4 linked regions of the Stegostoma tigrinum genome follow. The protein of the gene in region 1 binds, or shares a complex with, the protein of each later gene. Links are inferred from orthologs where the notes say so. Each region holds a gene or a part of one and is shown in the gene's direction. Other genes may lie near its edges. The genes, in order: rab35b; arf-GAP with coiled-coil, ANK repeat and PH domain-containing protein 2-like; dennd1b; rusc2.

Region 1 (6,943 bases):
AAAGTCACAATCAGTTGCCAGGTAAAAGTCTGATTAGGGAACAGATTTGTGGTGATGACCAAAGACAAATGGCTTTGCACTTCCAATATTTAGCTGAAGGAAATTTCTGCTCATATACCTGATGACTAATGTAGCAATTTAGAGACAGTTGAGAAAAGTACTAAAGTGAGTAAACACGTGGATAAATGTGAAAATAATCTTTCTGTCTTAATAGTTAAATGTAATCAGTCTGTGTGTGAAAACTGACACTTGTTGTGGAAGCTATTGTCAAGAGCAGCATATGAATTTGAAGTAGAATACAATGAATAGACCCCTGGGGGACACCAGAACTGATGTTGCAGAAGTGGGAAGAGAAGCTGACGCTCTGGCTATGACTGGATGAGCAAGAATGGGTAAAGAACAGGATTGCACGAGTGCAGTTTACAAAGAAAAGAAACTGGCATTATCTTGGTATTCTGGGTTAATCCTGGAATAGTGTGCAGTTTTTGATATTTTCTAATCATCACTATCTAATCATTGTTTTATTACACCCCGGGAACAGGTGGGACTTGAACTGAGATAACAAAGTATGGAGCTGGATGAACACAGCAGGCCAAGCAGCATCTCAGGAGCACAAAAGCTGACGTTTCGGGCTGAGACCCTTCATCAGAAAAGGGGTATGGGGAGAGGATTCCGAAATAAATAGGGAGAGAGGAGGAGGCAGACCGAAGATGGATACAGGAGAAGATAGGTGGAGAGGAGAGTATAGGTGGGGAGGTAGGGAGGGGATAGATCAGTCCAGGGAGGACAGGCAGGTCAAGGGGGCAGGATGAGGTTAGTAGGTAGGAAATGGAGGTGCCACTTGAGGTGGGAGGAGGGGATAAGTGAGAGGAAGAACAGGTTAGGGAGGCAGGGACGAGCTGGGCTGGTTTTGGGATGCAGTGGCAGGAGGGGAGATTTTGAAGGTTGTGAAGTCCACATTGATACCATTGGGCTGCAGGGTTCCCAAGCGGAATATGATTTGCTGTTCCTGCAACCTTCGGGTGGCATCATTGTGGCACTGCAGGAGGCCCATGATGGACATGTCGTCTAAGGAATGGGAGGGGGAGTTAAAATGGTTCGTGACTGGGAGGTGCAGTTGTTTATTGTGAACCGAGGGTAGGTGTTCTGCAAAGCGGTCCCCAAGCTTCCACTTGGTTTCTCAAATGTAGAGGAAACCACAACGGGTAGAGCGGATGCAGTATACTACATTGGCGAATGTGCAGGTGAACATCTGCTTGATGTGGAAAGTCATCTTGGGGCCTGGGATGGGGGTGAGGGAGGAAGTGTGGGGGCAAGTGTAACACTTCCTGCGGTTGCAGCGGAAAGTGCCAGGTGTGGTGGGGTTGGAAGGGAGTGTGGAGCGGACAAGGGAGTCCCAGAGAGAGTGGTCTCTCCGGAAGGCAGACAAGGGTGGGGATGAAAAAATGTCTTTAGTGGCCAGCCCAGCTCGTGCCCGCCTCCCCAACCAGATCTTCCTCTCACCTATCCTCTCCTCCCACCTCAAGCCACACCTCCATTTCCTACCTATTAACCTCATCCCGCCCCCTTGACCTGTCCGTCCTCCCTGGACTGACCTAACCCCTCCCTATCTCCCCACCTATACTCTCCTCTCCACCTATCTTCTCCTGTATCCATCTTCAGTCTGCCTCCCCCTCTCTCCCTATTTATTTCAGAACACTCTCCCCATCCCCCTTTTCTGATGAAAGGTCTAGGCCCGAAACATCAGCTTTTGTGCTCCTAAGATGCTGCTTGGCCTGCTGTGTTCATCCAGCTCCACACTTTGTTATCTCGGATTCTCCAGTATCTGCAGATCACACTATCTCTGGGACGTGAACTGACTCAGGCAGCGACACTACCACTGCACCATAACAGCCCTTTGGTGGGCAATTTTAACAGATGAAAACAGGATTCATTCATTCTTCATGTCAAAAACGAGGAGCCTGCTCCTCTTATCTCAATGCCTTATTCCTGTTTTCTCCGTATGCTTTTAAAATCTAAGAAAAACTATCTATTTCTTGAATTTGCAGTAGCCTCATCTCCACTGCCTTCTGTGGTAGAGAATTCCACCAGTTCACTACCATTTGAGTGAAGAAATGTTTGAAATGAAGAAACTGCTCCAGTTCAGCCTGGGTGCAGGATGCAGCATCAATTGATGTAATAGTGGAACAATTGGGGAACAGTACCAGTATAGTACTGAAGAGGGACTGTTTGACATAACGGGCAAAGAGGCAGGCTTAGCTGGGGCCCATGCGAGTGCTCATGGAAACCCCCTGGATTTGGAGCAAGTGGGACGAATTGAAGGAAAAGTTATTGAGGATGAGGACTAGCTCGGCAAGGCACAGGAAGATATGGGGTGGGTGGCATTTGAGTGGATCTGTTGGAGAGGAAAAAAACTGAGGGCCTGTAGGCCATTCTTGTGAGGTATGGATGTGTATGCGAATTGCATCGTAAAGGTGAAGTGCTGGGGGCTACAGAACTGGAAGTTTCTAAAGAGGTGGAGGTCGTGGTTTGTGTCCTAGATGTCAAGGGGGGGGCGGTGATGGGGGGTAGTGCCTTGACTAAAGGGGAGAGAATGGAGTCGAAGTAGGAAGAGATAAGTTTGGTGGGGCAGGAGCATGAGGTGACAACGGGTCAGCTAGGGAGTTGAGCTTGTGAATCTTGGGAAGCAGGCAGAACCAGACAGTGCAGGGTTGGGTGACAATAAGGCTGGAGGCAGTGGAGGGGAGGATACTGAAAATGCAAGGGCCTGGGTGTAATTTTGCACAAAACCCTGAAAGTTAGCACATGGTGCAGCAAAAGTCAGGGAGCTTATGGAATGTTAGCCCTTATTTCAAGAGGATCAGAGTATGAAGAAATCTTATTGTAACTGGTGGTGAGACCACATCTGGAGAACTGTGAGCAGTTTTGGTCCCCTTATGTAAGGAAAGATATTATTGAAGGCAGTTGAAGGAAGGTTTACTAGGATGATCTCTGGTATGAAGGGTTTGTTTTATGAACAAAAATTGAACAGGTTGAGACTCTACTCACTGGATTTTAGAAGAATGAGAGGTGATCTGATTGAAACATATAGCTAGGATTCTTAGGTAGCTTGACATGGTAAAATGCTGAGGCCATGCTTCCCTCATGAGAGAGTCTAGGTTCAAAGGGCATTGTCCTGGAATGAAGGGGTGCCAATTTAAGACTCAGATGAGAAGGAATTTCTCTTCTCAGAGGGTTGTGAGTCTTTGGAACTCCTTGCCACAGAGAGCTGTGGAGGCGGAGTCCTTGTAAGGCTCAGCTTGATACATTCTTAATTATTAGGGGAAACATGAAGTAGATTTGAGGGGCTAAATGGTCTACTTCTGTTCCTATTTCTAACGGAATATATTGCCTGAGTTTAAGACGGTTTTAGCAAATTCAGTTCAAAAGTTAATTGGGTGTGCTGTTGAAGAGAAATTGGTTGGGAGGTACAGGGAAAAGTGGGTGGGAATATGACTGGAAACCGCTGATTTTCTCTTGCAGAAATCCAGCAGGGTTTGGATAGGCCGAGTGGTCTTTTGTGTTAGTTTACCTGGTTCAGAGTAACATCTGTTTTCCTGGGAGAGATCGCGGTCGCAGAAGCATCACGTCTAGAAGGAATCTGAAACTTTTTCAACCAGATGCTCCAAGTCCCGACAGGTAAAAACCAAACCATTAAGAAAACAGCCAAGACCCGCGGAGCTGACATTTGCCGGAAAAAGTCGAACACCTGGGACTCGCAGCGACGGAGCCGGAAAGAACCGAACGCCGGGGCCTCGGAGTGAAGGTGCCGGAAATAGCCGAACATCTGGCCCTCGGAGAGACGGGCGCAGCGCGACTCCGGAAAAAGCCGAGGTGATGGAAGCCGGTGCTATTTCCGGAAGGCGGGTGTACTCGAGTAATTCCGGAAAGAGCCGATCATAGCGGGAGCCGGATAGTCGCAGCCGCCCTGCACAAACAGCCGGAGGAAGCGGCGTCGCCACTGAGAGACTGAACCGAGCTGTCTGCTCAGCGCCGCTGCCATGGCCAGGGATTATGATCATCTCTTTAAACTGCTCATCATCGGGGACAGCGGTAAGGAGCAGCCGGGGAAACCGAGCGCGGCGGCGACAGGAAACAGGCCGGGCCCTACGTCTGCACAGGCTGAGGAAGGGGAGCCAGAGGCAGCCAGGCCGCAGCCGACTGGACAGATACTTTTTTTTTTGTCAGAAGTCGAGTTTTGAGAAGGGATTTGCGGCGCTCCAGTGAACATACCTGGGGTGGAGGACCGGAGATTATCGAGCTCCTGAGGTGGAAACAGACAGGGGAAACATGGGTGGAGGTTGTGGAAGTAGGGATAGGGAGGGAGTCTGATGGTAGAGGCTGGGTGAGGGTCTGGCTTGGCAGGTGGGTAGGATCAGGGAGTCTGGGGTTGGGAATGGAGGGAATTAGCCCTGAGGTTGGAAGGGGACAAGTCTAGGGGAGGGTCGGGGTGGTGTGATAGGGGAAGGAGCCTAATAGGCAGGGGGAGTCTCGGGAGTAGGGCTGTTGTGGGAGGCAGTCTGGGGAGCATGGAGGTTAGGGAAGGAGTCTCTGTGGGCTGAGTTCATTGTGGTAGTCTCAGTTAAGTGTTGGCAACTAATGATTGTGCTTGTGTGTTGGTGAGTGTGAGCAACACCAGGAGTAGTGTAAGGGAATCTTGGAATCATAACAGCAGAGAATGATGCCACTTATCCTGAGCTGCCCAGGCTTTCTACAGACTGCTTTCCAGCTTGGTTAGCTGCACTGCAATTTTTTTTCCTGCTCTTGTATTCATCTGAATGTCTTTGGAATGTCACAATTGAATCTGCCTCCACTATATACTCAGGAAGTGCAACACAGATACTAACCAGTTGCTGTGTGGGGTGGGGGAGGCTCTTCCTAATGTTGCTATTGGTTCCTTTTTACCAGTCAGGTTAAATTGGTTTCCTCTGCACCCCAATTTCTTTTGCAATAGAATTGTTGAGAACTACAGCACAAATAGAGGCCCTTCGGCCCAGCATGTCTGTGCCAGTTAGGTGGGTGTTTTTAACTTTAAATTCCATCTTTTACCATTGGGAAAAGTTTGTGTTCTCTACTGTGTAGACTTCTCATGATTTTGAGTACCTGTATCAAATCTGTTCTGAATCCTGTCTCCAAAAGAGAAGATGCAGCTTCTCTTAGTCTATCCCACTTAACTGAAGTCCTTTGTCCTTGGAGCCATTCTTGTAAATGTTTGCTGTGCCCTTATAAAGTCTTTGCATCCCTTCTGAAGTCTGTGAGGGGTAGTAGTTGATGCTGGAACCAGTACATTATGAAGGTTCATCAAAATTTTTATTTGCTTTGTATTCTATGCCTTTAATCATTAAAGCTGAGAATCTTGTATACCCTATGAACTGCTATCTGTGTGCCTTGTTGCCACCAGCAATTTGTGCACATTAAACCACATGTCTCTGTCCATGCACCATGTTAGTTCGGTTTATATTGCCGCCTCTTGCCAAAATGTATCACCTTGCTGTCCTGCATTAAGTTTCATCTGCCTTGTGTCTGTGCATTTTGCCAGCTTGTTTATTTCTACACTCTCCATAGTTCAATTTGCATCCAAGTTTTATCACTTGTATTTTTTTTTAAATTGTGCCCTGTGCAACTAAGTTTAAGTCATTGATTTTGATCACCAAAAAGTGGTGAGTTAAATACCAGTGGGCAGTTGAGCCAAAAGACCAGGCCAGAGTTTGAGGGGACCTGGGAATGAAATCAGTGGATCTGCTTCTTTGACTTCTCTCCCTAGGGTAAGTCAGTGTTTGAGAGTCTAGCTATTGAGCAAGTTTGAGTGAAGGTATCCAGGGGTTATCTGTGTTCTACACGCCAATCTGTGAGATATAGTGACAGTATGTCGGTGAGTGAGAGAGAACGTCCAGCATACCAATCCATCCTGGTTCAAAGAGTCTTAAAATTTCTTGTGCAGAAAGAGACAATGCTGGCTTTTGTAATGAAAGGTGCACAGGCGTCTGTCAGATATGTTTCAGAGATGGGAGCTCTTCACCAATTCCTGATATTTTAGTTAACGGATTTGTAAGTGGAGACTTTACTGGCTTAGCTTTGTTATTAGGTTGATGTGCTGGTCTTCTAGAATATACATTAGTGATGTGAAGATATCTTTGTTTTAAGAGTCTGAACATGATACTGTTTTGCATTGTCCTGTTTTGGAAAAAGAAATTGTTAATACCAAACAACGTGCATTTATATAGCGCCTCTAACACACAGCATTTCAAGCCATTTGATTTTTGGCTGACTGTCTCATTAACATCAAACCAAAGAATGGAGTAGGTTTTTTTCTGCGATTGGTTTTAAACGTGAACACAGTGGGGAATTCTATTTTAAGGCTTAGACAACTTGGGCATAATTTATAATGTGCTTAACCTTGAGAGAGTGAGAGATGACACGGATTACTTGGGAGTAGAGTTTGTCATGGCAGCTGCAGATCGTGGCTTGAGCATCTGTAATATTTAATTGGAGAAAATCCCTCTTACCCAGAACTGGTTGTCAAACAAGACATCTTTCGGGTGTGGGAGGCAAGTGCTGGGGGAGATAGAGGTAGGTGTTCACGGTCTGCTTGTGGAACTTGACTCTGCTTTTGTTGTCACTGAGAGGTGCCATGCAAGGAACATAAGAACTAGGAACAGGAGTAATCCAGCCCTTTGAGCCTGCTCCTCCATTCAGTAAGATCATGGCTGATCTTTTCATGGACTCAGATCCACTTAACTGCGCTCTCGCCGTATCCTTTAGTTCCTTTATTCTTCAAAAAAAAATTCTACCTTAGCTTTTAATCTCCTTTAGGGACAATCTCCTTTAGACATCTCCTGAGGTGATATCATGAAAAGAGAAGCCATTGTAGGAGATTCTCTGGCTAAAATCAAGAAAAGATGAG
Region 2 (7,034 bases), on another chromosome or scaffold:
CACCCTTCGGGATTCCCTCTTAACAGCTACAGAGAAATGATCTAGCCCCCTAATTATGCTGTCCCCTACCACTACTACATTTATATTTTCTCTCCTCACTTGAATGGCTTCCTGGACCACAGTGCTGTGGTCAACTCACTCATTCTCCCAGCAGCCCCTACTCATGTTTATGCAGCTTACAAGAACTTTGTAGCTGTTGGACAAATTCAGTGGCCAAGGTGCCTCAGATGCAACCCCTGCAACACCATACCTTCCCCAGTGGTTATTACAGGTCACGGACAAATTTGACTTATCTAGTCTGCAGGGATGGGATCACTTTCTGGAACAATGCCTTCAGGTAACTCTCCCCTTCCCTGATATGGTGCAATATCATAGCTGAGAGTCCAGCACGTCAACAAGGATCTGAAAATCTCTGAACTGCAAATATTTACTAAAGATGTGTTCACTCTGGTTCACATTGGTGCCCAGAATCTTCCACATGCTACAGCTACACGTCACCTGTCCTGCCAACTCTCATGTAATGAGTTAAATTATAAACTAATTACTTCACTGTAATGATATTTTCAGATTTTAAAAAAATTACCACTATAACTTTATAGTTACCCAGCTCTCTCTTTTTTTCTAAAGAAACAATATCTTCAGGTATCCAGTGTTTTTCATCTTTCTGTTCTTAAAGTCCAGAAATAGCCATCAATTCTACTCACTAATCACATTCTCATTTCATGTTGTGGTTCATGACATCCATCTGTCTCTGATATCACTGCAGTTAGACCTCTTGATCCACTCCTTTTATTACCTACCAGTCACCTTTCATTCTATAGCACTTAATTCTTGCAGTAAACCCTTAGATAAAACACTTCTGCTGCCCTTTGCATCAATTTCCCACTTGAATTAAATTTCCAATTCACCACTCAGCCTTTGTCTGACTCAAGTGAAGTCTCCTTCAAACTGACTGTGCTCCTTACTGACTGTGCAGTGAAAATCTTTATTTTTACTGATCTGTTCAGAGACACTTCTTAGATACAGTCATCAGTACCTCATTCCCGGAAAAGGAAAGGATAATTTGTTCTTACTTCTATGAGGGGATGCAACTTCAACCTCTACTTAATGCAAGTTCAGGACCTTAAAGGAAAGTAAGGGTATCCATCAAACAAGAAAGTCATATTACCTTGATGCTTGAAAGTGTTAGGTTCAGAATGAGTTTGAAGTGTAGGTAATTGATACTAACAGCTCAACGGTAATGAATTTAATGATTTAGGTTAGGTGAAATATCTATACTGAATGAATCTTCTGGTGTTAGCTAATAAAAAGGAAACATAGAAAATGGGTATTTGATCAAAAATAAACTAAATTTGGTGATAGGGTCTTTCCCTTGTAATTGGGTTACCTGTCCAAATTCCAAGAGATACATTTTTAACTCTGTTCTGGGAAAACTTGGCCTAGGTAACAATCAGGTTGGGCAGTATTTTCGGTTATAGTACTGCCTCCAGTAAGACAATAAGACTAGAGGCTTAGAGTTTCCTTATCGGCGTGTGTTGTTACTTATATATGTTCTTGCAATGTTGTAGTCCTCCGTTCCCTTGTTTCCTCACTAATCATCCCCTTTACAAGGAGGGGCCAATGGGGCAATTCTTGGAACTTAATGCTGTCTTAAACAGGGAACCAATTAACCATCTTTCAGTATAATCTCCAGATCACCTTGCCTTAAAGGAGATATTGTATTGACACATACATACACACAATCAGACTCAACTGCACACAGGTCAATCCTGTTATAGAATCATAGACCTTTACAGCATACAAACAGACCCTTTTGTCCAACTTGTCCATGCTGACCAGATATCCAAAATTATTCTTGTCCCATTTTCCAGTATTTGGCCCATATCCCTCTAAACCCTTCCTATTCATATACCCATCCAGATGCCTTGTAAATGTTATAATTGTATCAGCCTACACTACTTCCCCTGGCAGCTCATTCCACAAGCGCATCACACTCTGCGTGAAAAAGCTGCCCCTTAGGTCTCTCTTAAATCTTTACCCTCTCAGATTAAACCTGTGCCCTTTAATTTTGGACTCACCACACCCCCTCACCCAGAAAAGACCTTGTCTGTTCACCCTATCCATGCCCCTCATGATTTTATGAGCCTCTATAAGGTCAGCCTCTCATGCGTCAGGAAAAATAGCCCCAACCAATTCAGCTTTTCCCTATAGCTCAAACCTTCCAACCCTTGACAACATCTTTGTAAATCTCTTTTGAATCCTTTCATTTTTCACAACATCCTTCCTATAGCAGGGAGACTGGAATTGCATGCAGTATTTCAAAAGTGGCCCAATTAGTCCAGCCACAATGCAAGTTTTGTTTGTGAACTACTATGCATGTGTGTATATTTATTATGTAGGTAAGATCATGGAAAAGCTAAATCTGGAATAACATTTTCATATTGACACTAAGATAAAGGGACATAAACTTGACAAAAGGTTAATTTAACTGAAAGCAGGAAATTCTTTTTAGACCAAGATTGATCAATGCATAAGAGTTCTGAGAGGCAGTTGGCAATATAAGTAAGATATTTTAAGAAACAAATATGGACAGTGTTGGTCGATGCTGGTGGGATTAGGTCTCTGCAGTGTTGAATGAAGCTGGTCAAAAGCCTTCTCATATCTGTTACTATCTGATATTGTGGCATAGGAAATCACACTGCAGCTGCATAGCATTGTGCAAAATGTGTACATTTGAAATAATGCAGACATTACAAGACCAATATAATTCTGCAAACTACATAATGACTTTTCCATCATAAGAAATCATGAAAATGGAAGTTAACTTTCATTATGTTTCTTTCTTCAAGTCTTTCTACTGGTGAGAACTAATTGCAATGCTGTTTTATGTTATATGTCATACATGTTATGTGGAGCCAAAAAAGTTTGGCTCATGATTTATTGTAAACATTAATGTTATTGTTAACATAAGTGTTGAATAATGGGGGCAATAATAAACAATCTTAAAGCTATTGTTTAGATTTTGCGTATGACCTGTATTTTTTCCCAGAAATATTTTTTTCAGTAACGTCAAACATCTTATTCTAAATTTAGACCAGTATTTTACTGTCCAATTGACTGCAACCCTGTTTAAAAGCATATCATTATTCACTTTTCTACTTCATTTTCCATTCTGTCCAAGTTCGGGAATTTGTTAGAACCAATGTATAACAGATCTGCGATTTCATTGGAACCTTTACACTTTTGAATGGTTTGTGAATTAAGTAACTACGCAAATATCTAAAACGAAAAAAGACTTCTGTGAGCTAGATACCTTTAAGCCAATCAACAAAACAAAACAAGAGTTTGTTTAAAAAAAAATAAAAAACAACTATTCTGAAGCAAAAGCAGAAATTGCCGGGTGACCTCGGACTCGAAACGTTAACTCTGCTTTCTCTGCATAGATGCTACCAGACCTGCTGAGTTTCTCCAGCACTTCCTGTTCTTATTCAATAAGAGATGGTCTTGTTCAGAACTCCAGAAGATACACCTCAAACTATGGAAATGTCCCAACAGATGGCGACAATGGTAACCTTTATTTACTGTTACGGTACTCATTCGATCATTCGTAAAATCATTTATTTGTAAATATTTTACCTTTTCCTCTTCCCACTCGATTGTTTTGGTGAACACTCTTGACGATAAATCACTGTCATTTGCATTTGAGTCCTATATTAAAGCCCATTTCCGAAGAAAGGTCCCAACCTGAAACGTCAACTTTCCTGCTTCTCTAATGCTGCCTGGCCTGCTGTGTCCCTCCAGCTCCACATTGTGTTAGCTCTGCATTGAGTCCCGGACTGGACTTCGACCCCGAGCCGGAACCGGACCCCGAGCCGAATCCAGGACTGGATCAGGACAGGGTCGGACTGGCCTGTGGACTCACTCCCCGCAGGGAGAGCGGCTGTTGCCACTTCCGCCACATGGTTGGTTGCCTTGGTTGGACGAGGCAGCTCTGATTGGTTAGATCGCTGTCAATCACAGCGCTCGTGTGCCCGGCTGCACGAGAGCGAGTGAGTAGCGGGTGGGGGTAGGGGCTGCGCGTTAGATAGACGGCGGACGGCGAGCGAGGACGGTGGTTCGTGGTAGGTTGTGTCCAGGCGCTATGAAGTTGACAGTGGATTTCGATGAATGTCTGAACGACTCTCCACGTTTCAGGTAGGCCGTTGTTCCAGTAATGATCCTTGGTCATTGTGGGCAGGAATGCCTTGTCGCTCAGTTCCCTCTCCGGATGCCTCTCCCATCTGGTCGTGTTAGAGTGCTTCTGTTTGTAAAGCTGGAAAGGAGGATCTGTGCTTCATTTCGATCTTGTTTATCGTTTGTTTTTCCTTCGCTGTTTTAAATCGTATTTCAGCAAACTCTACGTAGTATGCGTATCCAAAGTAATAATCAGTTAAATTTTAATTGTAAGCTTTGTAAGTTTTGTGAGTTTTTTTCTATAAAGTTAGCTGTCTTTTGTTTTTGGCCATCTTATGCGCTCATGTTTATAGTGTAAATGTCTGATCCCAGCAGTTTTTTTTAAGGGAAGGGATGGGATGGTCCTTGTGCTACCAATCCAATTATCCTTGATTTGCATTCTTGTTCTAACACTTCTCAATGTTGGTTGGTACAGGTATCTATAATACACTCATTATGAGGTTTGTATGGCTGAAATTGTTAAAATCAGCTACTGTAAAGTTTTTGATGTCTGAATTTTTTTGATGTCATTGACATTATTATTAAGATGCATTTAATGTTTTGGGAATAATTCTTGAATTTACAATTCTAAAAGGTTGGAAGGTTTTTAATCTTTAAAATTTCTAACTTTTGCTCTGAAAACAATAAAATTCACTTGTGTTTTCTTGCTTTGGATTAGCATCCAGTCTGATCTTTCACATCTGTAGACATGATTCTTTATTGATTTTAAGTAAAGAGTCACTTTGAGTTTACTGTGAATTTGACTTCATGAAAGTGAAGAAAGAGAAGTTTTTATGTTACATAAATATAGCTACTGGCATGCAAACGTGTTCAGCTTAACCAATCTGTTTGTGCCTCTCCTCTGGTAAACAGTCTAATTTCAGCTACCTTTCAATTTTTCACGGCAGCTCTGAACTAATTTTAACTGTTAATGTAGATAATTTTGCAGCCATCTTGCATAGCAAGAGCTCATTAAAACAACAACATTGATCTGGTTAACCAGCAGAAAGGAAGAGTCGGGTAAATGGGTGTTTATTCTGGTTGGCGATCAGTGGTGAGTGATGTGCCTCAGGGATCAGTGTTGGAACTGCAATTGTAAACAATTTGCGTGGATGATTTGAGTTGGAGACCAAGTGAAAAGTGTTAGTTTGTAGATAACACTTAGATCAGTGATGGAGCAAAGTGTGCAGAGGATGTTGAAAGCCTGCAGAGGGATATGGATAGGTTGAATGAGTGGGCAAGGGTCTGGCAGATGTACCATGATGTTGGTAAATGTGAGGCTAGCCATTTTGTTTTAGTAGGAATAACAGCAAAGTGGACTTGTTTAAATGATGAAGAATTGCAGCATGCTGCTGTGCATGGGCATTGTTGTGTGTGAATGGCAATAAGTTGCTTTGCAGGTGCAGCAGGTAATCGGAAGGCAAATTGGATGTTGTCTTTCATTGCTAGAGGGATGGAGTGCAAAAGCGAGGAGGTTATGCTGCAACTGTATATTGTGCTGTGCATAGTTTTGGACTCCTTATTTGAGAAGGATATACTGGTGTGGGAGGAGGTGCAGAGACTGTTTAACTAGGCTGATTTTGGACTTGAGAGAATTGGCTTATGAGGAGAGATTAAGAATGGGTCTACACTAAATGAAATTTAGAAGAATGTGGGGTGTTCATCTTATCCATTCTCTTCATAATTTTTATATTTCTATAAGGTAGAAGCACTGATGCTGCTTCCACTGCTGGGTGAAACTAGAACTAGGGGGTGTAACATCAATGAGAGAGCAGGTTTAGGACTGAGTTGAGGAAGAACTTCTTCACCCAAAAGGTTGTGAATCTCTGGAATCCAGGCAGTTGAGGCTAACTTGTTGAATCTTTCTAAGGTAAAGACATTTTTGAACCTTAAAAAATTAAGGGTTATGGTGAGCTCGTGGTTAAGTCTGAAAACATCAGCTGTAATCTTACTGAATGGCAGAGCAGGTGCGAAGGGCCGATTGGCCTACTCCTCCTATTTCTTACTTTCTTGTGTTCACTTTTTTGGCAGTGTTGATTGTGGCTCTTCGTTGGCAAGGACATTCATGGTATTGATTGATTAGTCTGTATTTTGTATTCAGTTCTGAAGTGCAATTTAATCTGCTCATCTGATTCTGAATCTTATTGTTCAGCTGATAATTCACTTTGTCCGTGTTGACACCAGTTCTTGCAATCAAGTTGTATGTTGGCCAAATAATCGTACGTTCAGAAGAAACATTAGTTTGTCTAATGGCAATATACACGTTGCAGCATCTGATGCCACTTGTTTTACCATGAGGTGGTTATTCAGTTTGGCATGTGTGATCATGTGCAGTAGGAGCTAAAATGTGCAAATATTCTCAACCTATCTGTTTGTTTTTTTTAAACTCCAGAGCTGCAGTACAAAGGGCATTGTTAATTTCTTCAGTGTCTCAATCGTGTATATGGATTTTTTTTTGTTTTGGCGACTGCTTAGAGTAAAATGTGATTGGGCAAGCAAAAGGAATAACCAAGAAACATGGCTTCCATTTTGCATTGTTTTCTTCATTAGCTTTGAAAGTAAATTCCTTACTTTGCCTGTTGAATTTATAAATGTGGAACTAAAATATTTCCTGTTTTAGTAGTGCAATGATCTCCAATGAGAATGACTTAAATTGCAAGTGACCAAAGTTGAACAATTTATGGGGAATGTCACGTTGAGATTTCAGATTTGATTGTTGGCTGCAATGTATTTCTCATTACTTTAACATAGAACCACAAATTCCTTTCGTAGTTTTGTTTTTAAGAATAGTATGCTTAAGACTGGTTGCTTGATCAAAATAT
Region 3 (7,718 bases), on another chromosome or scaffold:
GAAAGACCTTATTATAATCACCAAGAGGGATCTTCAACATGTAGGTGGACTGGAAAAATCAGGTTGGTTGTGAAGCTGAAAAAAAGGAATTTGTGGAATGTCTTCAAGATTTTTTTTTGGATCAGCTTGTGGCATAACCCACTAGGGAACAGTGATGTGTAACGAAGCAGACTTGATAAGAGGGCTTAAGGTGATGGAATACCTTGGGGGCCGTGACCTTAATATGATAGAATTCATGAGGAAATTTGAGAGGGAGAAGATGTAATGGTATAATCATTGAATAAACGCAATTACAAAAACATGAGGGAGGAACTGTCCAGAGTTGACTTGAAGAGGAATATTGCGAGGAAGGTGCAGCACGGTGGCTCACTGGTTGGCACTGCTGCCTTACAGTGTCAAGGGCCCAGGTTTGAATCCACCCTTAGGTGTCTGTGCACGGTTTGCACATTCTCCTCGTGTCTGCGTGGGTTTTCTCTGGATGCTACAATTTCCTCCCATAGTCCAAAGGTGTGCAGGTTAGGTGGCTTGACCATGCTAAATTGCCCATTGTGTCCAGAGATGTGGAGGCTAGGTGGATTAGCAATGGGAAACGTAGGGAAGTGGTTCGGAGGGGTTGGTGTGGACTTGATGGGCTGAATGGCCTGTTTCCACACTGGAGGGATTCTACGACATAAGATGGTGGAGCAGCAATGGCAGGAGTTTCTGGATGTATTTCCAGAGCACAGCTGAAATCTCACCCCAGGGAGGAAGAAGCACAGTAAGAGGAAGATGAATTAAACATGGCTGACAAGGGAAGTCAAGGCCAGCGCAAAAGCAAAACAATAAACATACAGTGTGGTGAAGATTAGTGGGAAGCCTTTAAAAACCAGTAGAGGATAACTAAAAAAGCAATGGGGATGGGGGATGAGAATATGTGATTAAGCTGGCTAGTGATATAAAAGAAGATTGGAAGAGTTATTTTTAAGTATCGAAGAGAGAAGCAACAGTTCTTAATGGACTACTTGATAACAAGGCCGGAGAAGTAGTAATGGGGAACAAAGAAATGGTGGAGGAACTGAATAGGTACTTTGCAAGAGTTTATATATGGAAGACACAAGCAGCATACCACAACTTCAAGAGAGTTACCGGGAAGAGGTGAGTGTAGAGGCTATCACTGAGAAGGTGCTGGGGAAACTGAAAGGTCTGATGGTGGATGAATCACCCAGACCGGACCACCCAGTGTCCTGCAGGAGATAACTAAGGAGATTGTAGTGGTGATCTTTCAGGAATCACTAGAGTCAGGGACAGTACCAAAGGACTGGAAAATGGATCATTTAACACCCCTATTTAAGGTGGGAGGGAGTGAGGCAGCATATAGGAAACTATAGGCTTGTTAATGTGACTTCAATTGTTGTTAGGATTTCAGAATCCATTATCAAGGATGAGATTGCAGAATACTTTAAGTGTGTGGTAAAATAGGGCTGAGCCAGCATGGCTTCATCAAGGGGAGGTCACGCCTGACAAATCTGTTAGAATTCTTTGAAGAGGTAACAAAGAAGTTCGACAAAGAAGAGTCAGTGGACATGATGTATTTGGATTTCGAGAATGCCTTTGACAAGGTGCTGCACAGGATGCTGATAAATAATACAAGAGCCTATTATGTTAAAGGCAAGGTACTGGCATATATAGAGGATTGGCTGACCGCCAGATTCAAAGAGCAAGGACAAAGGGGGCTTTTCAGGATGGCAGCCAGTGTTTAGTGGATTTCCACAATTGGGACCACACTTTTCACATTACACATTTATGATTATGACAAATGAACTGAGGGCATTGTTGCTAAGTTTGCGAGTGATACAAAGATATTTGGAGGCGTGGGTCATGCTGAGGAAGCGAGGAGACTGCAGGAGGACTTGGACAGGTGAGAAGAGTAGGCAAAGAAAAGGCAGATGGAATACTATGTGAGGAAATGTGAGATTATGCACTTTGGTAGGAAGAATACAAGCATGGACTATTTTCTAATGATCAAAGATTGAAAGATATTGAAGGAATAGTTGGGCAGATTCATTGAAATAAATTCCACCAGTTGTCAAGTGTAGGACAGTGCAGTTAATGATTAGTCAGACCTTTCAGGAATGAATTTTGGAAACACACAAAGGGTGGAATCTGCTCTACTTTAAAAAAAATTAAGTTGGTGGAACCATTTGTGAGTACTCATGTCAGAGGTGCATCCTGGACAACCAATTAACAGGTCAAGAAAACATATTCGCTCCAATAAAGGCTAACAGCTGGGATATGGATGTCGCTGGTGCAAAGGGAGATAACATAAGAATATCTTGACTCTTGCCACATTGAGAGAGGCGGACACTACTGAGGTAGATAGGAACTACAATGGCGCATCAAAATGGAAGTGGTGAAAAGGCTCAGAGCTGCTTGCACAATCAGTGTGGAGAGAGCAAGAATTCCTTTAGCCATAACAAGGTGTAGAGCTGGACGAACACAGCAGGCCAGGCAGCATCAGAGGAGCAGGAAAGCTGATGTTTCGGGTCTGAGCCCTTCAGCTTTCCTGCTCCTCTGATGCTGCCTGGCCTGCCGTGTTCATCCAGCTCTACACATTGTTATCCAAGAATTCCTTTAGCTTTGGCTATACCTGACTCAACCTTGAGGCTCCATTTATGAGGTCAGTTGATACAGGAGACTATATTGCTGCAGGCAATTAGGCATCAATTGTCCTTTAAAATGCTTTGCTTGGCTGCCCATTGTGGATTTTCAGGCAGATTGGGTAAAAACTCCTGGAAACAACACTCAAGAATGTTGACACCATCCAAGTAAAATCATCATATCCACAAATATTCTTTCCCACTATTTATCACTTATGCTGAGTAGCATCAGTATGTACCTACAAGATACATTGCAGAAATTCACGATGGTTCTAAACCACGATCACTTCCATGTAGAAGGACAAGGGTGGTAGATACATGAGAACACCATCTGCAAGTGCCCCTCCAAGCCACTTGCCATCCTTACTTGGAAATATATCATTGTTCCTTCACTGTCGCTGAACCAAAATTTTGGATGGCATTGAGGGTTTACATACAGCAAAGGAACTGTAGCAGTTCCATCACTACCTTTTCAAGGACAACTACAGATAGGCAATAAACGGTGGCCCAGTCAGTGACATCTACGTCCGATGAATGAATAAAAACAAATGTGATAATGTTGGATAGATAGAGTCAGGTTGCAGATCCTTCACAATTTCTTTGCCTCATGGACCACTCTTCATCACAGAATCTCTACAGTGTGGAAACAAGCCATTCTTCCCATCAAGTCACACCAGCCCCCAGACTGCAGCCTACCCACTCCCACCCCATCCCTGTTACCCTGATTTTTCATTGCTAATCCACATAGCCTGTGCATCCCTGGACACTATAGGCAATTTAGCATGGACAATCCACCTTACCTGCACATCTTTGGACTGTGGAAGGAAGGAAACTAGAGCGCTCAGAGGAAACCAACACATACGCTGGGAGAATATGCAAACTTCGCACAGTTGCCCAAGGCTGGAATCAAACCCTGGTACTGTGAGGCTGCAGGGCTAGCCACTGAGTCATATATGTTCCTTGGTTCATTCTGTCTCTAAGTCTGGTTTTAAAACTCTTGCTAAGCATTTGATTCCCCATTCTAATAAATCTTTCCAACTGCTGCTTTATTTTATATTTGATGACTCGTGAATCTTTAAATATGTCAAGTAATACTGAGTAAGTGTAATGTGGGTTCTTGCAAGTCATTTCTTAAACTCATCCCTGAACTCAGCAGTCTGAAGACAACTTCACAGACATCAAAATAGAAAAAGTCTGTGGTCTCTATGTCGACACTGTGTTTAGAAAAATGCAATAGAGCAAATATATGCATTAATGTTATGACAATCTGCTTCCTGAGTTGATATTTACCAGCCGTTATCACATGGTATATTGTTCGCATTATTGTCAGCGACAGCACGTTGATTGTGTAGTTTAAAATCTGTTGTCATATATTTAGAGGAAGAAACTCTAGCTCATATCCAAGTTGCTTTTCACAGTGCAAGAGGATGGGCAATTTCACACCCATCATGCTGTAATGAAATCGGTGTGCCAACACTGACATGCCAAATCATCATTCAGAACTACGGCAACACGCTCGTAGAAAATTGCGATGACATGGGGCCCTCCTGACGCGGTGTCACACAGGATTGAGTGCATTATTTGCCCGATTGGGACTATTTATGGGGAAATTCCTCGGCATTAATTGATATTTGGTCGGAACAGCTTTTTATTAAATAAAAACACTTTGATGACTTTTTCGTTTCGGGGGCCGGGGTGGCGGTAAGCTTCCTTGTGGATGTAGAAGACGAGCCACAGAGTTGAGCAACATTGGGATTTGAGGTTTAAGGTTAAATAAACAGAGTTGGGCCCGAAAAATAACGAAGAAGATAATTTCGAAAAAAAAGACAGCGATAATATAGGTACAGAACGCCCGTCTGGACGTTTTTATTTTGCTTGATTTGTTTTCTCCAGCTAATGTTGATGTTCATTTTCAGCGAGATTCAATCTACTCGTTACAAAACTAAGTCCATTCATTCCACCGTACATTTCATCCACTTGAGTGAGATCACTCTTGTGAGCTTCCTGTAGTTGGACTCAGTCAGGTGACGTTGTTAACCTTCTCTTGTCAGTGAGTGCTAACTTCCTAGTTTGTCTTGTGTGTGTGTGTGTTGGCGAGGTCCTGGTGGAGGAACAGCGGCTGCAGGGCAATGGTTCAGTGAGGAGCCGAAGCCGAATCAAGAGCCGCGCTGCTCTTTTAGCCACAGCGCAGTCTGTACGTCTGGGGCTGCCCTGGCGGCTGGGACACAGACAGACAGAGGAGACACCAAGGGGGGGGAGTCGCACCGAGATGCCGTAACCATGGACTGTAGACTGAAGTGAGTGACTGGGGAAGGTCGGGATCCTGGGCTGGGTACATTGAGAGCTGGAGACTTCCACAAGGGTGAAGCACCTGGTTGGGCTGGGGCTGGGGCTGGGGCTGGGGCACATTACAATCATTGGTAGGATTGGCTTTTGTTGCAGAGTAGAAGCGTTTGTGTTTCTGGTTTTGCTGATTTCTGGAGGCTTCAGGCCTGTACTCATTCTCTCTCTCTCTCTCTCTCTGCCAAATCAGATTGCTGACCGTGAAGGCGGAACATTTCACATTTAACCAGAATATACTGTACACTGCCGGGTTTGCAAAGCAAAAAGGGGGTTGCATTTCTCCTTGCAATTTTATCTTAAATGATGTGCACATTCTTACATTAGTTCTTTTCATTCATCAGTACGCTAAATGAAAACTAGAACGACTCAGGTTAGGAAAATGGCAAAATAATTAAGTCTCTCGTTTTTGCTTCAGAAAAATGCCATTCTCCATTGGCTATATCTGCAAAACAGACCTGCATGATTGGCGATAAACTGCAGTCTGAATGAGCAAATAAACTAAGGATAATCCAGTCTGTGACAGTTTAAATAACTTGGGTTTACAGAGTGGCCATAAAACCAGAAATGATTGAAAATTCCTTAACAGAAGTGTTTGGAATTTATTAATATGAGGACTTTCACCAGTCATATAAGTGATCTTGACATCTTTCCACCAGGATACCAGTATTTGGAAAACCACTTAGGAATGGCAGTACAGTGTGGGTACAAGAACTAGCAGAAGTGGTTCTCTTCCCATAACTCAGGCCAGGAGATAAGATTGGAGAACCAGCCATGAACACCTGCTGTCACACTTCATACAATAGACTTTTCGTACTCGCTGAATGAAACCTGAAATGCTGCTGTGGAAATTTTCTCCCTGAGCATTTCTAATGAAATGTGGAAAGAGGTCACTAGCTAATGCAGCTTTGAAGTTCTGGAGACCAAAATGAGTTGATACATTTTTGGTGCATTTCTGCTGAATCTGGTCTGAAATTGTTGTGGATTTTGAGGTTGTGTTGAAATGACAGTCGGTGTTGTTTCTTTGTGGTTTGCAAGAGGAGTAGGGTGTTGGTAGCTTCATTTCCTCATGCAGTGTGACTTTTTTCACTACCTTACCAGACATGATGATGCCTTCTGTGTAACGATGAAAGATCGAAAGGGGTTGAGAATCTTTCTGGCTGCTCCCATCCGTCTGTGGAAATTAGATCATGAACCGAATGTGATGGATGTTAGTCAGGGCCTTGTATTCAATTTTGCAGAGTTTGTGCCAAAATGTAATAGCCCAACATAAATTAATTTCAGCCAGAGGAAATTCATTCTGGTTTGAAGGATTTGCAAAGTAGATTAAATTAGCCTATTAAGCACACAAGCAAGTGCAGTGGGAAGATATTCCCAGGAAGATTGGAAGTGACTTGTCATAACTGTTAAAGTTTTTGAAACAATTTTGAACTGTTTCTAAGAATTTGAACCAACCCTCTCTTCCCCTCCCCCTGACTCATCCCCTCCCCCAACCCCACCTCCTGTTGGTTATTCACCATCTCTCCGAACCTTCCGCTGTCTGATGCTTAACATTCTGTACTTTATCCCTTTATGTCCCCACCTTAATGAATTTCGGCACAACTTGACGTTGACTCTTCATCCACTGTCTTCACCATTTCTTTGGACAGGAATCCTCTCCCCATTCCACAGACCCCCTTCGCCCAGTTACAACACTTTCCCTCCACTGGGACCCCTGTCTTCAGCCTTTTACCTGCAATCGATCTGTTCGTTGAGAACTGTTGACGTGAGATTGGTTACCTCAATTTTTCTGCCTCCCTCACCAAATCCAACCTACCTCCCTCCAAACTGACTGTACTCCATGCACTCAGATCTAACCCTGACTTTGTTATTAAGCCTGCCAATAGGGTGGTGCTGTTGTACTCTGGTGTACTGACTCCTACAATGCAGAGGCTGAGCACCAGCTCTGAGATAACTACTCACAACTTCCACTGGAACATGACCCTACCATGGCACATCAGGCCATTGTATCAGCTTTGGTAACTGACCTCATTTCATTTGGTGAGCTCCTCCACTGCCTTGAAGCTAATAGTCCCCTAGCGCCGCACAGCTCGCTTCTAACTCTTCCAAAAATCCACAAACAGGACTGTCTGGGCAGACCCATTGTTTCAGCCTGCTCCTGCCCCACCGAACTCATCTCTTCATGCCTCTTCAGCATCACCAGTCTTTTCTCTCCTGGCCCAATTCCTGCCCATGTACATCCATGATTCCTCTGACACTTTATGCCAGTTTTAGAATTTCCAGTTTGCAGGTTCCAGCTGCCTCCTGTTGACCATGGACGCACAATGCCTTTACATGTCCGTTTCCCACCAGGGGGGTCTCAAGGCTCTCCGCCTCTTCATGGAGCAAAGATCTGGACCCATCCATCCACTATCACCGTCCTCCGCTTGGCCCAACTTATCCTCTGGAAATGACCACAACAAACATGTTCTCATAGCAAGCATCTTTTGATCCTTTTACCCTTGTCCTTAACTACATCCCACCAGCATCCACATCCAGAAGATCATCAGTCGTCATTTCTACCACTTCCAGAAGGTACCACCACCAGACACATATTCTCCTCCCATCTCCTGTCCACCTTTCTCAGGGATCATTGTCTCTGGGATACTCTGGTCCACTCTTTCTTCATGCGCCCAACACTCCCCACAACCCCACAGCACCTTCCCCTGTAACCAGTGAAGGTGCAACACCTGTCCATTTACC
Region 4 (7,228 bases), on another chromosome or scaffold:
TACGGCATGCCTGCTGTTATTAGCCAGGGCTTTGAGTTTAAAAATTGGTCAGTAATGTTGCAGCTTTATAGGATCTTATTAGGCTCTATTTGGAATATTGTGTTCAATTCTGGTCACCACACTACCAGAAGGATGTGCTGGCTTTGGAGAGGGCACAGAAAAGATTTACCAGGCTGTTGCCTGGTATGGAGGGCATTAGCTACGGAGGAGAGTTTGGAGAAACTTGAGTTGTTCTCACTAAAGCAATGGAGGTTGAGGGGTGACCTAATAGAGGCCTACAAGATTATGAAGGGCGTGGACAGTCAGAAGCTTTTTCCCAGGGTTAAAGAGTCAGTTACCAGGGGCCATGGGTTTAAGGTGCGGTGTGCAAGGTTTAAAGGTGATGTATGAGGCAAGTTTTTTTTTACATAGAGGGTGGTGGGTGCCTGAAACTCGCTGCCAGGGGAGGTAGTGGAAGCAGATACTATAGCAATGTTTAAAGGATGTCTTGACAAATATACAAACAGGGAGGGTAGGGGGTTTTAGTTGTGATGGGCAGCATGTTGGCGCAGGCACAGAGGACCAAAGGGCCCATTCCCGTGCTGTAATTTTCTTTGTTCTATAAAGGCTCAATGATGGTTTCAGAGGGATGAGCATTGGACTTATACTGCAAACTCCTCATGTAGACATAATAGCTTTGAAGAGCTAGCTTTTTTTCTCACTAGACAAGTTGGGGATTTAAAATGTTAAAGTGAATTTGTTCCCTAATGGGGAGCTAGAGTACATCAGTAAGATGGATGAACCAGACCATTTCTTGATTTAGAACATTGGCAGTAGAATGTTGGATGATCTCAAGCAATTTATGAAAGAAAATTGGAAACTAGCCAGGAAAGCATTGGAATAGATATTGAAATAAGGAAACAACGAATGAGAGGCTTAAAGTCGGTCAGCTGAAATTGAATCAAGGCCATATTTGGACAATGTTACAAAGTTGGAAGCTGACAAGCATGGTCATAGAATCATACAGCATGGAAATAGACCCTTCATTCCTACCAGAACATGTTGAATGTAGTCCCAAACTAAATTAGTCCCACCTGTCTGCTCCTGGCCCATATCCTTCTTATTCATGTACATATCCAAATGTATTTTAAATGTCATAATTGTACCTGTATCCACCACTTCCTCAGGAATTTCATTCCACACTCTCTATCAAAAAAAATCTGTCACTTGTATCTTATTTAAATCACTCCTGTCTCAACTTAAAAATGTGCCCCCTTGTTTGATATTCCCCCTTCCTAGGGAAAACATAACTATCATTAACTCTGTCTATACCTTGTCTTATAAACTTTAATCAGGTCACCTTGCAACCTCATCTCTCCAGTGAAAAATGTCCCAGCCTAAGCAGCCTTTCTTAATAACACACACCTTCCGTACCCAGCAACATCCTGGTAAATCTCTTCTGAACCCTGACCAGCTGAATAATATTCTTCCTGTTCTGGGAGACCAGAATTTGACACAGTATTCCAGAAAAGGTCTCACTGATGTCCTGTGAAGCCTCAACATGAGGTCCCAACTCCTGTACTCAGCAATGAAGGTAAGTGTGCAAAATGCCTTTTTAACCACCCTCTCTAAATGTGACGCAAACTTCAAAGAATTATGTACTTGCACCCCTAGGTCCCTTTGTTCTATTAGCGTATCCAAGGCCCAACCATTAATTGTACAAGCCCTACCCTTGTTTGTTGTACCAAAATGCATTTATCCAGATTGAACTCCCCCTGTCATTTTTCAGCCCATTGACCCATTTGATCAAGATCCCCATGTAATCTTAGAAAACCTTCTTCGCTGTGTACAATGCAACTAATTTTAGTGCCGTTTGCAAAGTTACTAACTGGTTTGAAACTCATTATAGGGTTAAATGAGCAGCCATGATTGCAGGCGGTCTGGTTCAGCTTCATTCAGTTGCTAACAACAGGATGAAGTCAGTCACTAAAGAACTGAGTCGACCGGTTGGGAAGATTGCCACTGTCTTCAGTTGTTGACACAGACAGTGACTGTACAGAGTGATAATCTTCCCTATGTTGGCGGGGGAGTCTGTCCTTGTAGTACTGAATGTCGGATAATCAGTATGACAAAATAAGACTGAGACAACTCGAGTACTTCAGTTAACATTAATTGGTTGCTTCTGTGAAGTAACAAAATTTATGCAGCCTGTTTAAAGTTATTATTATGAAAAGGGCCCAAAACAGCTTTGCTTTTAAATTCTTTTCATTCCGTGCAGCCCACTGTTTCCTGGCTCACACTGCTCCTTTTTCAAAGGAATACAGCATTTTCAAGTTTAAGGCTGCTGAACTGCACTGCCATTTAATTTACAAAACTCAACCTAATATACCAGTTATTGTCAGTGCCCCTGACTATAGTTCAGTCCCAGCAGTAATGCATCAACTGAAGCATTATTCAGAAATAGTTATGTTCATGTTTGATGGCTTTAAATTATGCTTTTGTATTGGAGCTACAACTAGATAACAGATGGCCAGACTGGCCAAGGCACAGTCTCTGAAAACCTTTTGCATTTGATATTCCTAGGTAAATTCCCAAATCCATTAGACTCTTGGAGTGTCTCTCTGTGTTCCTAAGTGGTTTTTGTGGCTCTGGAAGAAGCTCAATGGGATAATAATGTCCAAAGATATCTATCAATTTGGGAGTGTCCAAAATTTAGTCCTGTACAAAAATTACAGATCTAAGGATATATAAAGAGACAGTTTTTAAAATCTTACAACTCATGAGAAAGAGCTAACTTTCTGTGCTGTTCTGAGGAAGATCGAGATGTAACATTCACCAAATGATGTCATGTTGCTCTTCATTTTGGCATTTCTTTTGCTCAGATCACTTTACAGTTTCTTTCTCTTGAAAACCGGAACAAATGGAGTGTTCAAATTGAATGTCTGCAAAACCTTAGCTTAATTATATTTTTTGGGAACACGTCAAACATTTTTTTTTTCATGAAACTTATAAATGCGCATTTTAAATAGGTGTTCATCATATTTTCGAACACCAATCTAAGCTTTTTAACATTTTCCTCAAAGCAATTTTAAATCTTTGAGGCTTATGAACAGCATCTTGTTTTTGGGTGAGTTTTGAGGAGTCGGGGCAGGGGTCCTGGATTGTGGTCGCAGGGTAATCGGCTAACATTAATTCTGAAATACTCCCCTATCAACAAGACAAAGTATTGGTCTTCCACAGCCATTGTATAGCAGAGAAGGCACCGTTTCCACCTGGGAGGCCTACAAGAGTTATAACAGCCTAAGGTTTGGGTCACTACTGACAACCTGCCAAGTTCCCTGTCTGATCCTCACGGGCTTTATTGCTACCTCTATTCTCTCTGAACACAGTTTGACTGGGTGGAACTCGTGTAAAGGAGGTAGAATGGAGAACTTGTTCTCCTTGTCAGGCTGTTCAAAAACCTGTTTACAATGGCAGCCATGAGTGTAAGGACTCAGGTGATTACAGTGGAAGTACGAAATTTTATACCCCTTATTTGTGCAAGGTTGTTAGGTGATCCAGACTTCTGGTTGGGCAAGGAGCTCTTAACATCTGGTAGGTTAGCATTTCCGGAACTGCTGCAAAGGTTATTACACACCAGTCCTCATGCTATGTTAGCACACCAATCAACCCATCGCATGTACACCAAATGCACAATAACTTTCAGAGAGAAGCATTTGAAACTTGAGAAGTCACAGGATTCACTGCCCTTCTCCCCGCAACCGTCTGGGTTCCTCCCTTTCCGCTGACCGGGTCTTTTGGTAGCAGCATTGAAGCCTCTTTGCAAACACACTGGGACTTTTAGTAGGGTTTTAGTTTGATATTTGTAAAAATTAATATTTGGTGAAAAGCAAGGTTTGCTTCCTCCAGTGCGTACTACTCTAATTCCTTAAGCAGGTCTTCTGCCATAATATCCCTATTCAGTTCTTCTAATATATAGGGAGCAGTTAGGTGGGGGATCATTTAAAAGCATCACTCTAGATCCAGATGTGAAGTTCTAAACACTTTGGTCTGAGGAGAAGAATATTGTCACTCATGTCTACTCCCATATCTATGTCAAGATGACAGACGTGGAGTAGCGGTGTTTGGGCTTCTGCTCATCTACTGCTTTCTTCTGTCCATTTCTGCTTTTGTTTTCTTTCTACTTTGCTCTTTATAGTTCTCTCACCTTATCCCTCTGGGAGTTTGGCAGCGGTGAAACTGGTGACATCGGCGACAGCAGCAAGTTTTGGGACATTCAGGAAGGTTGTGTAGTCTGATATTGCAATTGATTCCAAGATGTTGGCGTCTGCGAGTTGGGCCCAGGGGTGAGTAATGGCATCGAAGCATGGCGAATTCAAAGTTAGTGGGTCCTTTGCAGGTGGCGGTGAGGCGCAGAATTTGAGGTCGTGGCGTTGGCAATGTTGGTGGGTCCAGCGTGGGCAGCATGGATGAGCCTGGCTCAAGACTCGCAGCAGCAGCAGCAGTAAGGATGACCTGGACATTTTTTCTTTCTTTCAATTGTGTTTCTTTAACTTCTGTTTCTTGTTTTTAGTTCTAACTATTATATTCTAAAATGACACCAGAGAATGGCGAGCCTGTACGCTTGCACAGTACTCCTTTACTCCGGTACACGTGATGATAGATAAAGTCAAAAATTTATTGTAATTCTTCCCTCATGGTCCTAGCCTGGGCTGGTGACGGGTCTGTATGCATTTGTGAACTCCTCTTTAACTTTACCCGGTGGCCATTCTTTGCTTCCCTCTTGCTTAGTTTTTAACCATGGCTTTTGTGATCATACAAACCAGTTTTGGTTCACCATACAAGAGAGGAAGGATTGCTCTCAACTACATTGTCCCAGCGATGCCTGAAATCACCAAGGAAACCATTTCTTGTACTTGCTATCTCAGCATGGTCACTTTATTCTACTGGCTGAGAATGCAGAAATAATTGCTTAGCTAATTTCTTTCTGGAGATTGTTTACTTTGTCTATATATGGAATGTGGTCTGCTTCAGGGGAAGCAAAGTTTTTTTTCTGAATTAATTCTCTGATTTACTCATCCTTTACCTTATCCTGCAATCATGCATTCTCTGCATGTAACTCTGTATCATGTTTGAATTTTTTTTGTTTCTTTTTAATAGTGTGCTTTGTTTGCATGTTTCTCCCTCCTGCCTTAATTGAGTATGTAAGCTGCCACTTCCACTTTGAACCTGTTCCTTGGACTCCTTGTATTTTCATTTAGCTGCAAGGTGCACATTTGGTTGAGTAGGTCACCTTTTTCCAGACTTTTTTAAAAAAGTTTGATCTTACCCTTCTGAGCCTTCATTGAAAGTCTATAAAGAATAGACTTGTAATCCACATCACAAACATCTACCACTTCTAATATATTTTTTGCTTCAGCTGCCCTGGTTTTCAGAATCAAACTTTCTCATAAACTGCTATCTCTAAATCATATAGAATCCCTAATGTGCAGGCAGAGGCCATTTGGCCTATTAAGTCTGCATAGACCCTCTGAAGAACATCCCACCCTACCCCCGTAACCCCACATTTACTATATTTAACCCACCTAACCTGCACATCTATGGACACTATGGGAAATTTAGCGTGGCCAATCCATCTAACCTGCACATCTTTGGACTGTGGGGGTAAATTGGAGCGCCTGGAGGAAACCCACACAGTCACGGGTAAGTGCAGCCTCCACAAAGACAGCTGGAATCGAACCTGGGTCCCTCATGTTGTGCGGAAGTAGTAGTCACCCTGGTGCTGCTCAAGCTGTCAGTTTACTTGAGAATTATTCAACACATTTAATTACAATCTCAAAATAAAGCCTCGATGTCTACGATACCCCACACCGCTGATATTTTTGGGGCTGTAATCTATGCTGCCTCGATCACCTGTCTAAGCTCTCTCAGCCAGTGATCATGGGCAGCTGTTCATGGTGCCAGGATGATTTACCCTTGTCTGCCTCTATTTGAGCATTAGTTTTCATTTCTTCTAAGAACAAAAATGTATTTTCCAAAATGCTTCATATGGGGTCAAATAGCGTGTTGCCTGATAAATCTTCTGTAAATGTGTATGGAAGGTTAATTCTGTAACAGAATTAAAATGAAGTTTCTTGCTATGCAGCAGATGCTAAGTACTGAATACAAAGAGAACATTATTTTAAGAGACCCCAATTTCTAACATGTTAAGATAGTGTTTTAAAAATATGCATCATTACTTCTTTACTTTTGTGGCCTGTGCCCTTATGTATAAAATCCAGCATCCTGTATGCTTTTTTAACCATCTTCAATAATTCATACAATCTAGGTCTCTGTTCTTACATCTCCATTAGAATTGCATTCTTCTGTTAATCTTCTCCGTCCTTGCAGTTCTGAAGAAGGGTTAGTGGACTTGAAACATTAACTCTGCTTTCTCTCCAAAGATGCTGCCAGACTTGCTGAGTTTCTCTGGCAATTTCTGCTTTTGTTTCAGACTACCAGCATCCACAGTTCTTTGTTTTATATCTATGGCTACTTTGGGTAGACTGGATTGATATTTTTGGGGCAGTTGTCTCATTCTGTGCCCAAGATTTTCGATATGCTTCATAAATTTTACAAAGCACATTGAATGAGTATTGGAAGATCTCCCAAGGTTTGGAGGGAACAGTAGTGTGCAGGTGTGTCATCCTCCACTAACAGTATCTGTAAGTGGAGGTAGTTGTTTTCTTTCACTTCAATGATTAGCCCATTAGAATGGAAATGGAATTTTTCTTTTATTTATTTGTAGAATGTGGGCATCACAGTCTGGCCAGCATTTATTGCCTGTCCTGAGTTGTCCTTGAGATGCTTTCTTGAACTGCTGGAAGGAATTCCTGTAGGGAATTCTAAGATTTTGACCAAAGTTTGCCCTACATAATAATCCCTGCTTTGTTGCTGAGTCCTTTTCATGGAGCAGTGATTTTCACTTAGTCATTCAAAAACCTGAGAACATACTAACCTGAACTTGCTCCTGAGATAGTAGGAACTGCAGATGCTGGAGAACAACAAGGTGTAGGGCTGGATAGCAGGCCAAGCAGGAAAGCTGACGTTTCGGGCCTAGACCCAAGAGGCAACACATCAGCATGGAGTATGTCTAGGCCCGAAACGTCAGCTTTCCTGGTCCTCTGAATCTACTCCTGATTGGCCACCCTGTTCTCATGCACAGACTTTGATCATTCATTGAGTCACCAATAAAAGCATAGAGCAAATC

The links.
Region 2: the proteins of rab35b (region 1) and arf-GAP with coiled-coil, ANK repeat and PH domain-containing protein 2-like are in contact, whole or in part, in a crystal structure (PDB 6IF3), measured with the Homo sapiens proteins. The link is inferred for Stegostoma tigrinum from reciprocal best matches to the Homo sapiens genes RAB35 and ACAP2. Residues at the interface, in NP_006852.1 of Homo sapiens: Arg3, Asp4, Tyr5, Leu8, Ile41, Gly42, Val43, Asp44, Phe45, Ile47, Lys58, Gln60, Trp62, Phe70, Arg71, Thr72, Ile73, Thr76, Arg79; in NP_036419.3 of Homo sapiens: Val715, Ala718, Asn719, Ala720, Asp721, Val723, Thr724, Arg727, Leu728, Arg730, Met731, Glu734, Met735, Ser738, Glu748, Thr749, Gln751, Arg755, Asp756, Gln759, Met760.
Region 3: the proteins of rab35b (region 1) and dennd1b are in contact, whole or in part, in a crystal structure (PDB 3TW8), measured with the Homo sapiens proteins. The link is inferred for Stegostoma tigrinum from reciprocal best matches to the Homo sapiens genes RAB35 and DENND1B. Residues at the interface, in NP_006852.1 of Homo sapiens: Lys10, Leu12, Ser17, Ser36, Tyr37, Ile38, Thr39, Thr40, Ile41, Gly42, Val43, Asp44, Phe45, Gln60, Trp62, Thr64, Ala65, Gly66, Arg69, Phe70, Arg71, Thr72, Ile73, Thr74, Ser75, Thr76, Tyr77, Arg79, Gly80, Thr81; in NP_001182144.1 of Homo sapiens: Met1, Arg4, Glu43, Ser47, Phe51, Val72, Leu73, Thr74, Asp75, Ile76, Glu77, Ser78, His211, Glu212, Arg213, Arg214, Gln242, His243, Ile244, Ile246, Leu249, His252, Leu253, Asp255, Tyr256, Cys258, Ala259, Pro260, Met261, Pro262.
Region 4: the proteins of rab35b (region 1) and rusc2 are in contact, whole or in part, in a crystal structure (PDB 6IF2), measured with the Homo sapiens proteins. The link is inferred for Stegostoma tigrinum from reciprocal best matches to the Homo sapiens genes RAB35 and RUSC2. Residues at the interface, in NP_006852.1 of Homo sapiens: Asp4, Tyr5, Leu8, Phe9, Lys10, Ser22, Leu26, Asp30, Ile38, Thr40, Val43, Asp44, Phe45, Lys46, Ile47, Lys58, Gln60, Trp62, Thr76, Arg79, Gly80, His82; in NP_001129471.2 of Homo sapiens: Val997, Lys998, Asn1001, Asp1005, Val1008, Thr1013, Arg1015, Lys1020, Glu1119, Glu1155, Leu1158, Leu1159, Gln1161, Pro1162, Leu1165, Leu1166.

The regions. Positions count from the first base shown.
Region 1 is NC_081379.1:44,705,668-44,712,610, reverse strand, and holds the start of rab35b (ras-related protein Rab-35b), read left to right. Parts: upstream 1-3,936; 5' UTR 3,937-4,040; coding exon 4,041-4,092; intron 4,093-6,943. UniProt on the Homo sapiens protein: The small GTPases Rab are key regulators of intracellular membrane trafficking, from the formation of transport vesicles to their fusion with membranes.
Region 2 is NC_081367.1:42,733,695-42,740,728, reverse strand, and holds the start of arf-GAP with coiled-coil, ANK repeat and PH domain-containing protein 2-like, read left to right. Parts: upstream 1-4,028; 5' UTR 4,029-4,141; coding exon 4,142-4,194; intron 4,195-7,034. UniProt on the Homo sapiens protein: GTPase-activating protein (GAP) for ADP ribosylation factor 6 (ARF6). Doesn't show GAP activity for RAB35.
Region 3 is NC_081361.1:37,117,148-37,124,865, reverse strand, and holds the start of dennd1b (DENN domain-containing protein 1B), read left to right. Parts: upstream 1-4,703; 5' UTR 4,704-4,916; coding exon 4,917-4,933; intron 4,934-7,718. UniProt on the Homo sapiens protein: Guanine nucleotide exchange factor (GEF) for RAB35 that acts as a regulator of T-cell receptor (TCR) internalization in TH2 cells. Acts by promoting the exchange of GDP to GTP, converting inactive GDP-bound RAB35 into its active GTP-bound form.
Region 4 is NC_081354.1:131,899,526-131,906,753, reverse strand, and holds the start of rusc2 (AP-4 complex accessory subunit RUSC2), read left to right. Parts: upstream 1-4,212; 5' UTR 4,213-4,325; intron 4,326-7,228. UniProt on the Homo sapiens protein: Associates with the adapter-like complex 4 (AP-4) and may therefore play a role in vesicular trafficking of proteins at the trans-Golgi network.